Linked DNA regions of Macaca mulatta. The protein of the gene in region 3 interacts with the protein of the main gene of each other region in a pairwise test. Links are inferred from orthologs where the notes say so. Each region holds a gene or a part of one and is shown on either strand. Other genes may lie near its edges.

The links.
Region 1: the proteins of SSX2IP (region 3) and SHFL interact in binary tests that used the Homo sapiens proteins (3 or more experiments, as listed by UniProt). The two-hybrid records come from large-scale screens. The link is inferred for Macaca mulatta from reciprocal best matches to the Homo sapiens genes SSX2IP and SHFL.
Region 2: the proteins of SSX2IP (region 3) and FAM161A interact in binary tests that used the Homo sapiens proteins (3 or more experiments, as listed by UniProt). The two-hybrid records come from large-scale screens. The link is inferred for Macaca mulatta from reciprocal best matches to the Homo sapiens genes SSX2IP and FAM161A.

Annotation. Positions count from the first base shown.
Region 1 is NC_133424.1:10,795,675-10,799,785, reverse strand, and holds the start of SHFL (shiftless antiviral inhibitor of ribosomal frameshifting protein), read right to left. Parts: upstream 2,839-4,111; 5' UTR 2,728-2,838; coding exon 2,707-2,727; intron 2,235-2,706; coding exon 2,111-2,234; intron 1,913-2,110; coding exon 1,863-1,912; intron 1,688-1,862; coding exon of another isoform or gene 1,549-1,687; intron 1-1,548.
Region 2 is NC_133418.1:62,896,694-62,900,343, reverse strand, and holds part of FAM161A (protein FAM161A), read right to left. Parts: intron 2,585-3,650; coding exon 1,424-2,584; intron 728-1,423; coding exon 560-727; intron 1-559. UniProt on the Homo sapiens protein: Involved in ciliogenesis.
Region 3 is NC_133406.1:155,899,924-155,903,573, reverse strand, and holds part of SSX2IP (afadin- and alpha-actinin-binding protein), read right to left. Parts: intron 1,448-3,650; coding exon 1,337-1,447; intron 1-1,336. UniProt on the Homo sapiens protein: Belongs to an adhesion system, which plays a role in the organization of homotypic, interneuronal and heterotypic cell-cell adherens junctions (AJs).

The DNA.
Region 1 (4,111 bases), on a different chromosome or scaffold from region 3:
CTGTTACCTTATTGCTCAGATGGGGAAACTGAGGCTTAGGGGAGGGCTTGCCTGTGAGGCCAGCCTGACCCCCGTACTCACTTCCTGCCTGCAAATGCCACATGCTTGTTGGTGTTGTGACAATATCGCCCCTTTGAGGCCATGTTGTGCTTGGCTAAGTGGTGGGGATCTGGACTGAGAGATGTGGGTTCGAATCCCAGCTCTATCACTTCCAGCTGTGGGGACTTGGACAAGCCACTCCCTGCCTCCTGGGTTCCCACTGACAGGCATGTTAGAGCCCAGACTCTGACTCCAGGTGGCCAGGGTTCAAATCGCAGCTGCCACCTGCTTGCTTCGTGAACCTAGCAAGTGACTTCATCCTCAGTTTGTCTGTGAAATGGGGATAAATAACAGGACCTGTCTCCTGGGGTCACTGTGGCGATGAAATAAATCAATTCCTGGAGTCTTGCCATATGGGAAATACTCAATGAATGCTACCCTCTGCTATTGTTATTATTATATTTTTGAGATGGAGTTTCACTCTTGTCGCCCAGGCTGGAGTGCAATGGCGTGATCTCGGCTGACTGCAACCTCCGCCTCCCAGGTTCAAGTGATTCTTCTGCCTCAGCCTCCCAAGTAGCTGGGATTACAAGCATGCACCACCACGCCCAGTTAATTTTTTGTATTTTTAGTAGAGACGGGGTTTCACTATGTTGGCCAGGCTAATCTCGAGCTCCTGACCTCAAGTGATCTGCCCGCCTCAACCTCCCAAAGTGCTGGGATTACAGGCGTGAGCCACCGCACCCGGCCCCTCTGCTATCATTTTTATCATACTTTTATATGTATAAATGTAGACTATGATACATATTTTACTATCCTCTGGGTTTTTTTGTTTTTTGTTTTGTTTTTGAGACGGAGTCTTGCTCTGTTGCCCAGGCTGGAGTGCAGTGGCGCGATCTTGGCTCACTGCAAGCTCTGCCTCCCGGGTTTACGCCATTCTCCTGCCTCAGCCTCCTGAGTAGCTGGGACTACAGGCGCCTGCCACTACGCCTGGCTAATTGTTGTTGTTGTTGTTGTTTCGTATTTTTAGTAGAGATGGGGTTTCACCATGTTAGCCAGGATGGTCTTAATCTCCCGACCTCAGGTGATCCGCCCGCCTCAGCCTCCCAAAGTGTTGGGATCGCAGGCGTGAGCCATGGCGCCAGGCCTATTATACTGTAACAGCCCTACACTGAGCCTTTCAGGCAGGCGAAATCCACAGTGTTCCCATCACCAAAGCTTTCGAAGAAGCAAAGTAGCCATGATGCACCTGTGCTTCAAAGCCATTCATTCATTCATTCATTCATTCATTCATTCATTCATTCATTCAACACAAGGGTTCCCTTCCCCTCCCTCTCTCTCCTCCCCAATCCCCTGCTCATCCCAGCCTTTCTAGAGACTGACACTAACAACCCTTCCCCACCTCCCAGCCTTTGCTCATGCCATTCCCTCCCACACCCTAAGGCCCCTGCCTTTCTTTCCCTTTCCCCTCCCAGGGCTCACTCCTCTCCATCCTTTAAGACTTGGTACCTCCTCCTCCAGGAAGTCTTCTCTGATCTCTGCCCCCCCACGATGGCCATAATCCTGACTCCTTTCATTGCCTAGTTTCATGGCTGTCCGCCTTTGAATACAATCAGCGCATAATGAGCACCTACTGTTTGCAGGCTCCCTGGCCGGACAAACGATAGAGAGGTGAAAAAGTGATATTGGGTGATGAGTTACGGACCGACAATGCCTGGTCCCTCCTGTTTCAGAGAAGTGTCAGTCACCATGAACCGGTCGGGTCCCCCCTCTTGCTGTCCCTCCCGTGACCCGGTCCTTTGCGAGGGGAGGGGACAGGTTACCTGGGCATCCAGATCGTTACTTAGTTCTTGGCCATCTTTTTGCTTTACCCCTGCGGGGGAGAGTGCGTATAAGAGAAGGGCCCTTGAAGGGTCTGTGGGAGTTCCAGGCCACCCAGAGCCGCGATGCAGAGCCTCCCCGAGGCTGGGACCTCCGGGGGAGGTGATCTCAACGCCTCTCCCTAGACCACGCCCCCTCGGCGCTCCCACGCGCGGTCTCCGCACCAGGCCCGGGACCCCAGCAGCCTCACCGTACACGATGGAGCGCCCAACTCCCGTGTGGTCGCTGCCGAATTTCCTCATCAGAGCCCCCGCCTTCTTGGAGGATACCTTCCCATGAAACTTCTCCCGGAGGCGCCGGACGCTCTTCTCCAGCTGGGATGGGGACAGGGGGGTTCCGGTGGGCGAAGGGGAAGCGCGATCGTCCCTCCCCCATCTCTAGGCACCGTTCTCCCGGCCTGAACTTGACCCTTGGTTTTGGCCTCCGCCGCCCCCCCTTTCATCCCTCTACGGCATTTCCTGGAAAAAGCCAAAGTCCCCACATGGCGCTGGGGGAGGGCGCGGACTGAGGCGAGCGTCCCAGCCTAAGGTGGGGGGGCGGCCAGGTTATCTCTGGCCTCTGACCTTTGACCCTGCAGCCCCCGCTTTTCCTCGGAGAGGCCTCATTTCGCTCTGGGGAAACGTGGGAGTCACTTTCCTTTTCAAGGGGGGTGAGCGCCAGGCAGGGGTAAAGATCTGGGGTTCTAGGATGGGGGTCCCCAGGAACTGCGAAGCCCCCTCCGCGCTTCTCGGCCGCTCCTCGGAGTCTGTCGCGTCTGCCCCCGGCCCAGCCGTAGCCATCTCTTACCTCCACACCTTCCTGAGACATGGTGGCGGCGGCGCAGGTCCCCGCGAGGGTCCGCACTGCGCGGTTCAGCCGCCCCCCTACCTGGGCGCGCCCGTCGGTCCAGCAGCCGCGCAGGGCAGGGGGCGGTGCCTCGGGGCCGGCTCCGCCCTTCCTCCCCAGCCCCTGTTTCGCTTTCGATTCAGGGGGGACCGGGCGCGCTGGCTCCGCCCTGGCTCCGCCTCTGCTCTTGCGCCCCAAACCCAGGCGGGCGCCCCGGGTCTGCACCCTGCGGCGGAGCGCGCAGACCTCGGGCGGGGGAGGCGGCGCGGCCTCTGCAGTCGGTCACATGTCCCCACGCTGCGCGGGGTCCGCGTCTTCACGTCCCTCGTGGGGGCGGGGCCGCATCGGAAGGCCGCGGCGAGGCCCCGCGCCCCCCCACCCAGCGCGCGCTCCCCCAGTTCATCACCCTCCTCTCTGTCCTCCCTCCTTCCCCGGGAATCTGGCGCTCATGAGGACCTGGGCGCTTTTCCTGCCCTGAGTCTCTGTCCTAGCTAGGGTCACCTCTCTGAACCTCAGTTTACCCCTCTGTGAAATGGGGAGGATCCTGGTCTCTACACCATGGAGTGGAGTATGTGCCAAGATTCCCGAGTGGATCGCGTAATAGCGCCTGGCTTGCAGTAGGCACTCAACTAGTCACTGGGCCACCTGCTGTGTGCCCTTGATAGGGGCAGGCAGTGTGTGTGTGGTTGCGGGGAGCGGTGCTTGAGAAAAACACAGATTCTTGGTCTCTCGTTGCCCGGTAGAATCCGGCTGTCTCAGGGATCCAGGGAATCTGCAATGGTTAAGAACCCCGTGGGCTGGACAGTTCTAACCCAGTACAGGGCGCATCAGGGAGCCGTTAGGTGGTGGGGCTCTGGCCCAGCCTGGGGACACAGAGATGGCTACTTCATTGGAGGAGGGGATGCTTTGTACAGTCACTGAAATTGGAGGTCTTAGCTCGGGGACGAATAGAGTGGGGAGTTGAGGCAGCCGTGCAGAGCCCCCAAAACAAGACTAAGTCTGGGGCTTTCGGGCAAGGGCTTCTCAAGCCCAGCACTCTTGACACTTTGGGCTGCCTGGTTCTTTGTGTGGGGGACTGTCCTGTGTGTTGGGGGACATTTAACAGCATCCCTGGCCACTGCCTGCTAGATGCCAGTGGCTCCTCACTCTCCCTGTTGTGACTACAAAAAATGTCTCCAGAGACTGCCAGATACTCTCTGAGGGGCAAAATAGCATTGTGTTCAACGACTCTAAATTTTTTTCTCCATTGCACACCTCTATAGGTAAAACTGTTAAAATTACACCCCCAGATGGATATTTATTTATCTTTTGAGACAAGGTTTTGCTCTGTTGCCCAGGCTGGAATGCAGTGGTTTGAATACGGCTC
Region 2 (3,650 bases), on a different chromosome or scaffold from region 3:
TTATGTGCAACATCTGGAACACTGGTTTTCAAACTTTGTACTGCAGAATTCTAGTGAAGGGGTTCTAAGGATTCCGTGAATATTTTTATTTTTATATTGAAATTAACAAAATGCAACACATACTACTAAACATTAACATATGTGCTAATGAACACATCACATAATGGATGTTTAATGTGTTAATTTGTGCTATCAGATTTCATCCAAACCTTAGAACAAAGCTCTTTGATATATCAGTTTACTGCAATCAAAAATAATATAAAGAACAAGATTAGATACTGGTATAAGATTATAACTATTAACTAAGGCCACAATAGAAAATGTTTGTATTCCTCAACATAGCTTCATGGTTCTTACCATGAAAGTGAGTATATATGTTGGTTCTCACCATGAGGTGAGTGTGTGTGTGCTGAACATAAGTAACTGATGACAATTTAAATCCATAAGCTAAAACACTAATGCCATTTTCAATCTGCTCATATTTTACTATCTACTGATTAAAAAAAAAAAGAAAGTTTGAAAACCAGTGGTCTGGAGGTTCAAGATTTTTTTATGATACCTGAGACATTTTACTCTGGATTTAGATATTTGAGCTAAACTTTGATGTGAGTCATAAGCCTTAGCCCGGGTTGTCAGGAGTTTCTGCAATTCTTTCATTCTTTGCTTCTGTTTAGTTAGGATCCGATTTCTCTCTTCTTCCAACATTTTCTTTTCCTCAAGTGATCTCCTGAGGGTAACAAACTAAGGCTTAATCCACTTTAAGCCAATGCGAATGTTGTTTAGCAAAGATTCAACATGGGATAATTTGAATTTTGATAATTCAAAATTTGAAAAAAGGCAACCCTTTGAAAAGGATCTGACGTGTAAAACTAGAAATTTTTATTTATTTATTTATTTATTTTTTGAGACGGAGTCTCGCTCTGTCGCTGAGGCTGGAGTGCCACGGCGCGATCTTGGCTCACTGCAAGCTCTGCCTCCTGGATTCAAGCGATTCTCCTGCCTCAGCCTCCTGAGTAGCTGGGATTACAGGCACCTGCCACATGCCCAGCTAATTTTTTGTATTTTTAGTAGAGATGGGGTTTCACTATCTTGGCCAGGCTGGTCTTGAACTCCTAACCTTGTGATCCACCCACCTCGGCCTCCCAAAGCACTGGGATTACAGGTGTGAGCCACTGCACCTGGCCAGGTAAAACTAGAAATCTTAAGACTAATATTTTCTAATCCACGAAAATTTATAAAATGAAAAATACATTCATTTCTTAGAATACTCTCTGACAAAATGTCATATATTATATAGTAAAATATTTTATAGATACAATAATAATTTCTAAATATTTTCAAATTCACCAACATAAACTCCACAGAGCTACATACACTCATCTGGTAACCCTGAGTCAGTCAGTACTGTGTCTTAGTTACTTACCTTACAGCTTGTTCTCGTCCTCTGGAAGACACCGTGGGCACTGGAGGGTTGTAGTTACAAGGCACAGGCTTTACACCTGCACGTCTTACTGGAGACTTACGCCTTGGAGACAAATAAGGCCAACGTGTTTCTTTTAACTTTTCTTCATCTGCTTCGATGTCTGCCAAAATTTTTTCTCTTTTAATAGATGCATGTGGAGATGCATGAAGATCAAATGGTTTACACACCGTTAAGAGTTTTGGAGACTTGTGTTCTGAGAGGTGTTTCTGATATCTCTCAGGAAGGTCCTCAAAATCAGGAGTCCGGCACCTAACCTTGTGTTTACACTTCAACTTTACAGCCTGTTCGGGACACGTGGGGTTCCTGCGTCCCCAAGCTGACCTACAAGGCAGAGGAGATGAGTTCTGTAAACGCTCCTGGGCTCTCAGCTGCGTCCTAAGGTTTCGATAGAGCTCTTCTTCTTTTAACTTGTCATTGGTAGTTGAACCATAAGTAGATCGAGGAATGGGTCTGGCTTTAAATCGATTTGTTTTCTTTTTAGACTTAAAAAAGTCTCTCAGCTGCTTTTCCTGGGCTGCTCGCTTCTGTTCCTCCCTTGCTATAAATTTAAATGGCTTTTGTGAGGCCAAAAGAGCTTCTTTATTTTTCTCCTTCAGAGACCTTCTCCGTTCTTCTTTTTGCTTGACTAAATCATGGTAAAGGGGGAGAAAGACAGATGCAGGAACTGGATTGGCTCGGAATTTCTTCTTACACTCTGGATCCTCTTCTTGTTTTTTGAGCAGTTTATCTACCATTTCAATATCTGATTTAGATTTCATGGACTCTTCTTTTTTCTTCTGTTCTCTTATCATCATTTGAAAAGGCTCCGGTACTGTAATCGTGGGCACCCATTCTTTTCGTTTCTTCCTTGTTTTCTCAGCTGTGTGGAAGCCAGTATCTTTACAGCGAATATAATCTTCAACACAAAAGTCTTTCCACATGTTGTTGATAAGCTCCTTAGCATAGGCCATCATTCTGTTTTCCCTAGCATACTCTTTTTCTAGGTTGGGTAACTCTTCTTCAGAGGAGGACACATACAAGGAGGAAGACTGGCCTAAATCAGGCTCTGAAAATGATGTCATTAATGAGACAGGGTGATAGGAGTTCTTTTCTGACACAGATCTAAATGAGAAGAATAACTATGTTATACTTTCAGTTGTATGTGACCAAATATAAAAATTAAGAGTTACATATTTTCTTTTCTTTTTTTTTGTCTGAGACAGAATCTCACTCTGTTGCCCCGGCTGGGGTGCAGTGGCCTGATCTTAGCTCACTGCAACCTCTGCCACCCGGGTTGATTCTCCTGTCTCAGCCTCCCGAGTAGCTGGGACTACAGGCATGTGCCACCGTGCCCAGCTAATTTTTTGTATTTTTAGTAGAGATGGGGTTTCACCATGTTACCCAGGATGGTCTCAATCTCCTGACCTCATGATCTGCCTGCCTCCGCCTCCCAAAGTGCTGAGATTACAGGCGTGAGTCACTGCGCCCAGCGAAGAGTTACATTTCTAAGATCAGGGTATAATCAGAAGAGAGGAGCTGGACAGGGCTTGTAAGAATTATCACTTTTATTTGGAACAGAGCTGGGAGATGCCCATACCTTATCTACTTTGACTTCTTCATTTTACAGAGAAGGAACCTGAGATGGCAGAGGCTCCTTGTGACAAACCTCTATTAAATTCTCCCCACAATTTCCAGAGTCACAGTTCTGAAGCATAGATCTGATCATGTCATTCTCCTGCTTGAAACTTTTTGATAATTCCTTACTGCTACAAAGTCAAGCCTAGATTACAAGCCCTTTGAGACTGGCATCTATCTTTTCAGTCTTACTCCTCACCACTGGCTACCCCAGTCTCCATTCTGCATTCATATCCAGTCCTGTGAAGTTCCTCACACACGATATTATTTCTCATGCCATCTTGCCTTTGCATACATGGTTGCTGCTGGCTAGAAGACCACTACTTATACCTCCTCCAAGACTGAACTCAGATGTAACACTTCAGTGGAAAATTCTGGCCTGCATCCCTCCAAAAGCTTGGCATAACCAACTGCTTCTTCCTCTGTAACACTCTGTTACATCATGCTGTAATGCAATTTTTGGTTCTCAGCTAGTCTCTAAGCTCCTTGAGGGCATCTTGTTTTTGACTCCTCAGTGCCCAGGTATAGTCTGGCATACAGGAGACATGCAAGC
Region 3 (3,650 bases):
TACCTTACATATAGACTCTGAACATTTAAAAACCAGATATTCTTATGGAAGTATTAAAATGATTAAAGCTTCATCTGAGATAAACTGAATTCATCTGATCATTTTAAGTGAACTCCTTGTATTACTGACTTAAAAATCACTTATACTTTTTGTTAATCTGTGACAAAGTGAATTAAGCCTGTGGCACATGGCAGCAGGTAAGCAGGCTCATTTTTCTAATTAAAAACAATTCTCAAATAAGAGTAAGTCCAAACAGCAGAATAATCCAGTCCAAATATTTGCTGAGTATGTATTACGTGCCAGACACTGCTGTTCAAAGTTCAGATCAATTACAGTTTCTCAGGCAGCCCCTGATAGAGTATGTCCTATTCTTTTATAAAGCCATTCCCAATCCCTGCTAGGGATTAACATGATTAACTTAATCCCTACTGAAGATGAACTGTATTCAAACCGTTTAAATGTAATCAACAGATCTAGTCAGAATTGTCTGTGAACTCAAGGAAACATGTATAAGCAACCTTACAGTTTAAATACTAATTACCTACTTATTAAATATACTACTAAATAAACAAATATGGTAAAACAAATCTATCTAAACCACTCCAGCGTTCTTTAAAGAAATACACTCCTCAGAAGTCTTTAATTATAGTTCAAACAACATAAAACACTGAAACTATTATATTTTTATAGTTATTAAATGGTCAGAGGTCATACTTTAGAGCAATAAAAACATAATGGTTTCTTCCTACAAAAATGAAAAAAGAATATTTTGAAATGCATTCGAGCTATAGGTCCAAGTAACCACTAAAGTAGAAATTAGAATTCTGCTAAGTAACCACTAAAGCAGAAATTAGAATTGTATCTTTTGTGTTAGAAATTAGATTTTTAATGTGAACTGCTTCTGTGCCCATTTAATGAAGAAACTGCTTGACTAGATGAACAATGTCAGTATTTAAGACAGTGCATGCAAGAAGGGGCACCTCGGCTATCACGTACAGGTACAGCAGAGAATAAAAGATCTGCATTTAAAGCACTCTTGTGCCTCAGAAAAAGTGACAGTGAACATGAGTCCAGGAAGGCCAGTCCAGGACACTGGCTGTTACCAGCTATGAACTAATATCTAAGCCAAATGGATCCACTGGTGGCGGGGGCTGTGGTGGAGAGGGTTCCTGACCTTCCAGTTAAATACTATACACAAAGGTCTACCATACCAATTCGGGGAAAGATGAATAAATGGTTCTTTCTTTTTTCAAGTAAAGTGGCTCTTATGGTCATCTCATACTACAAAGAAAACAAAAATTCACTTAAACTTCATCAGCAGTAACTGACAACTCACCTCATCTTTCTCATTCTTTAGTAGCTGATGCAAATTCCTGTTCTTACATTGTAACTGTCTATCTCTTTCCTGAAGCCCAATCATTTCCCTCCTGGAAGTTTCCAGTTGTTCCTAAAACATTTACATGCAATTCTGATTAAAATTAACAAAGGATTTAGAATAACTGAATCCTTAAAAGATCAGTAACAAGAAGTTACACATCCTACTGTTTATTAGTCAAAATCAAATGTTAGTGGCACGTGAAATGTTTATTTAAAGGAATTATTACAAAGTACACTATAAAATTATAACATTTAAATTTACACATCAAATTTTAATTTACATATCAAATTTTGTACACATACAAAAAAGTGCTTCAAAATGGATCCCTGGAAAGAGCATCACTCCCATGATGCTGCCCCTGAATATTTTTAAAGTTTATTTTTAATACTTTTTAACACTTCTATACCACATTTTTTAAGATCTCCTCAAGTACAGCAATGTCATCATCCTTCGAGAGTGTACTTGGCTTTGAAAAAGAAGCAAAAGTGATTTGGAGCTACGTCTGAAGAAAAAGATGGGTGACCAAGCAAAGTGGCAACACGTCGAGTCACAGAAATGGGACTTCTGTGTGACACCACTTCTCCCTGCAGGTGGTAAAGTCTCTGAAGGTACTTCCCAGAGAGGAATGGCAGCAAATCCAGAATTAGTATGAGACAAGATGCTCCTTTTCAACTTACTGCATTTCCTGAGGAACTGTGCCAACTTCTGCATGAGGCCACCCATACGGAATATTTTTTAAATTGTACTAGTATTTTTATAAAATTCAAAAGCCAATCAAGTTATGTCATAACCGACCATAAATAATAACTTGCACAATTTCTGTAAGAACAGATCTCAAGAAGATACAGAAAATGTAGGAGTATAACCTGGATAACTAAGGTTGTCAATTTTTGGCACCCTTTTTTTGAATGTGTAAAACTTACTATTACTGCTAGGACAGATTAGTTGGCATGATATAACTTACAGGCACTAGGCCAGGTGATATGTAGCATATACATCAAATCAGAAATTCGCTCCGCGTGATGATCAACACTTTACCTGAACTCAGCATCACCCCTGAACATCCGCATGCACCCCTCCTTCCTTTCTTAGTGAACCACATCACCATCCTCAGTAACTCAAGGCAGAGACCTGAATGGGGTCTTGAATTCATGACTCCTATTCTCCAAATTCAATTTTTCATAAAATCCTACCCATTCTACTTCCTAAGTGTTCATCAGATCTCAATCTTACTATCCCCATTAGCACTACCTTAGTTCAAGTCCAAGACCTCAGCAAAGGGTCACTAACAGGCATCCTTATCACTAGGGCTTTCTGAGCCCCCTAACTCCATCCCAAATACAAGTCTGCAATTCCCCTATAATTTCTCCACCCCACTGCCAGAATATTTACACATTATCTTCCTCCTGTTTACAACTCCTCAGTGCTTCACTGTTTTCGTACAATTCCTTTTATACCATCTGGAGACAAGGCTCCAGTCTTACCTCATATCACTCTTCATACCCATCACATACCCATCGCAGCCCCAACAGAGATATTTGTGGTTCCTCTAAAGTGCAGTGATCTCATGCTGCTACACATTTATACAAGTCATATACTCTGCCTAGAATGACATTTCCAAACACTAGCAAATTTCTACTCATTCTTCCAATCTCAGATCAGGTGTTACCTCTCCGTGAAGCCTTCCCTTGCTTCCTACCCCAAGAACAATTAATGAAGCAAACAGTTATGTTTCAATATGTCTCCTTTCCCTGGACTGCAATCTCCTCGTGAACTAAGACTGGGGTTTCACTCAGCTTTGAAACTCAGTGCCTAGCACGTACGCAATACATTTTTGTTCAACAAGTTGAATTAATCATATGCTAGATCTAGAAACTTTTCCAGATAGATTAGCAACTTTCCCCACTGAATACACATTTCTGTCCACAGTTGACTCAAAATAACAAGATTCTGGCCTAGATCAAATCCCATATTAGAAGACATCCTGAAGAAACAGTCTCTGCTCTGGGTAGTCCTAACAAATGGGACCACTCCTTGAAGGAAAGGCTCAATAGCCTCAGATCACCAACATACCATAATGATTTACTAGCTACTTATAAGACACATGGCCAAGGGTTACAACCTCTGGATCAGCCCAATCCTTAATAAGACCTTCCATAGGTCTCTCTGATCTGGATTAAAGTAGCATCCATAACTCACAACCTTTTCACAAGCCTGGGGGTCACCAACTACCCTTTGCAATCTACCACAGTTTCCCCAAGAGACATAGCTG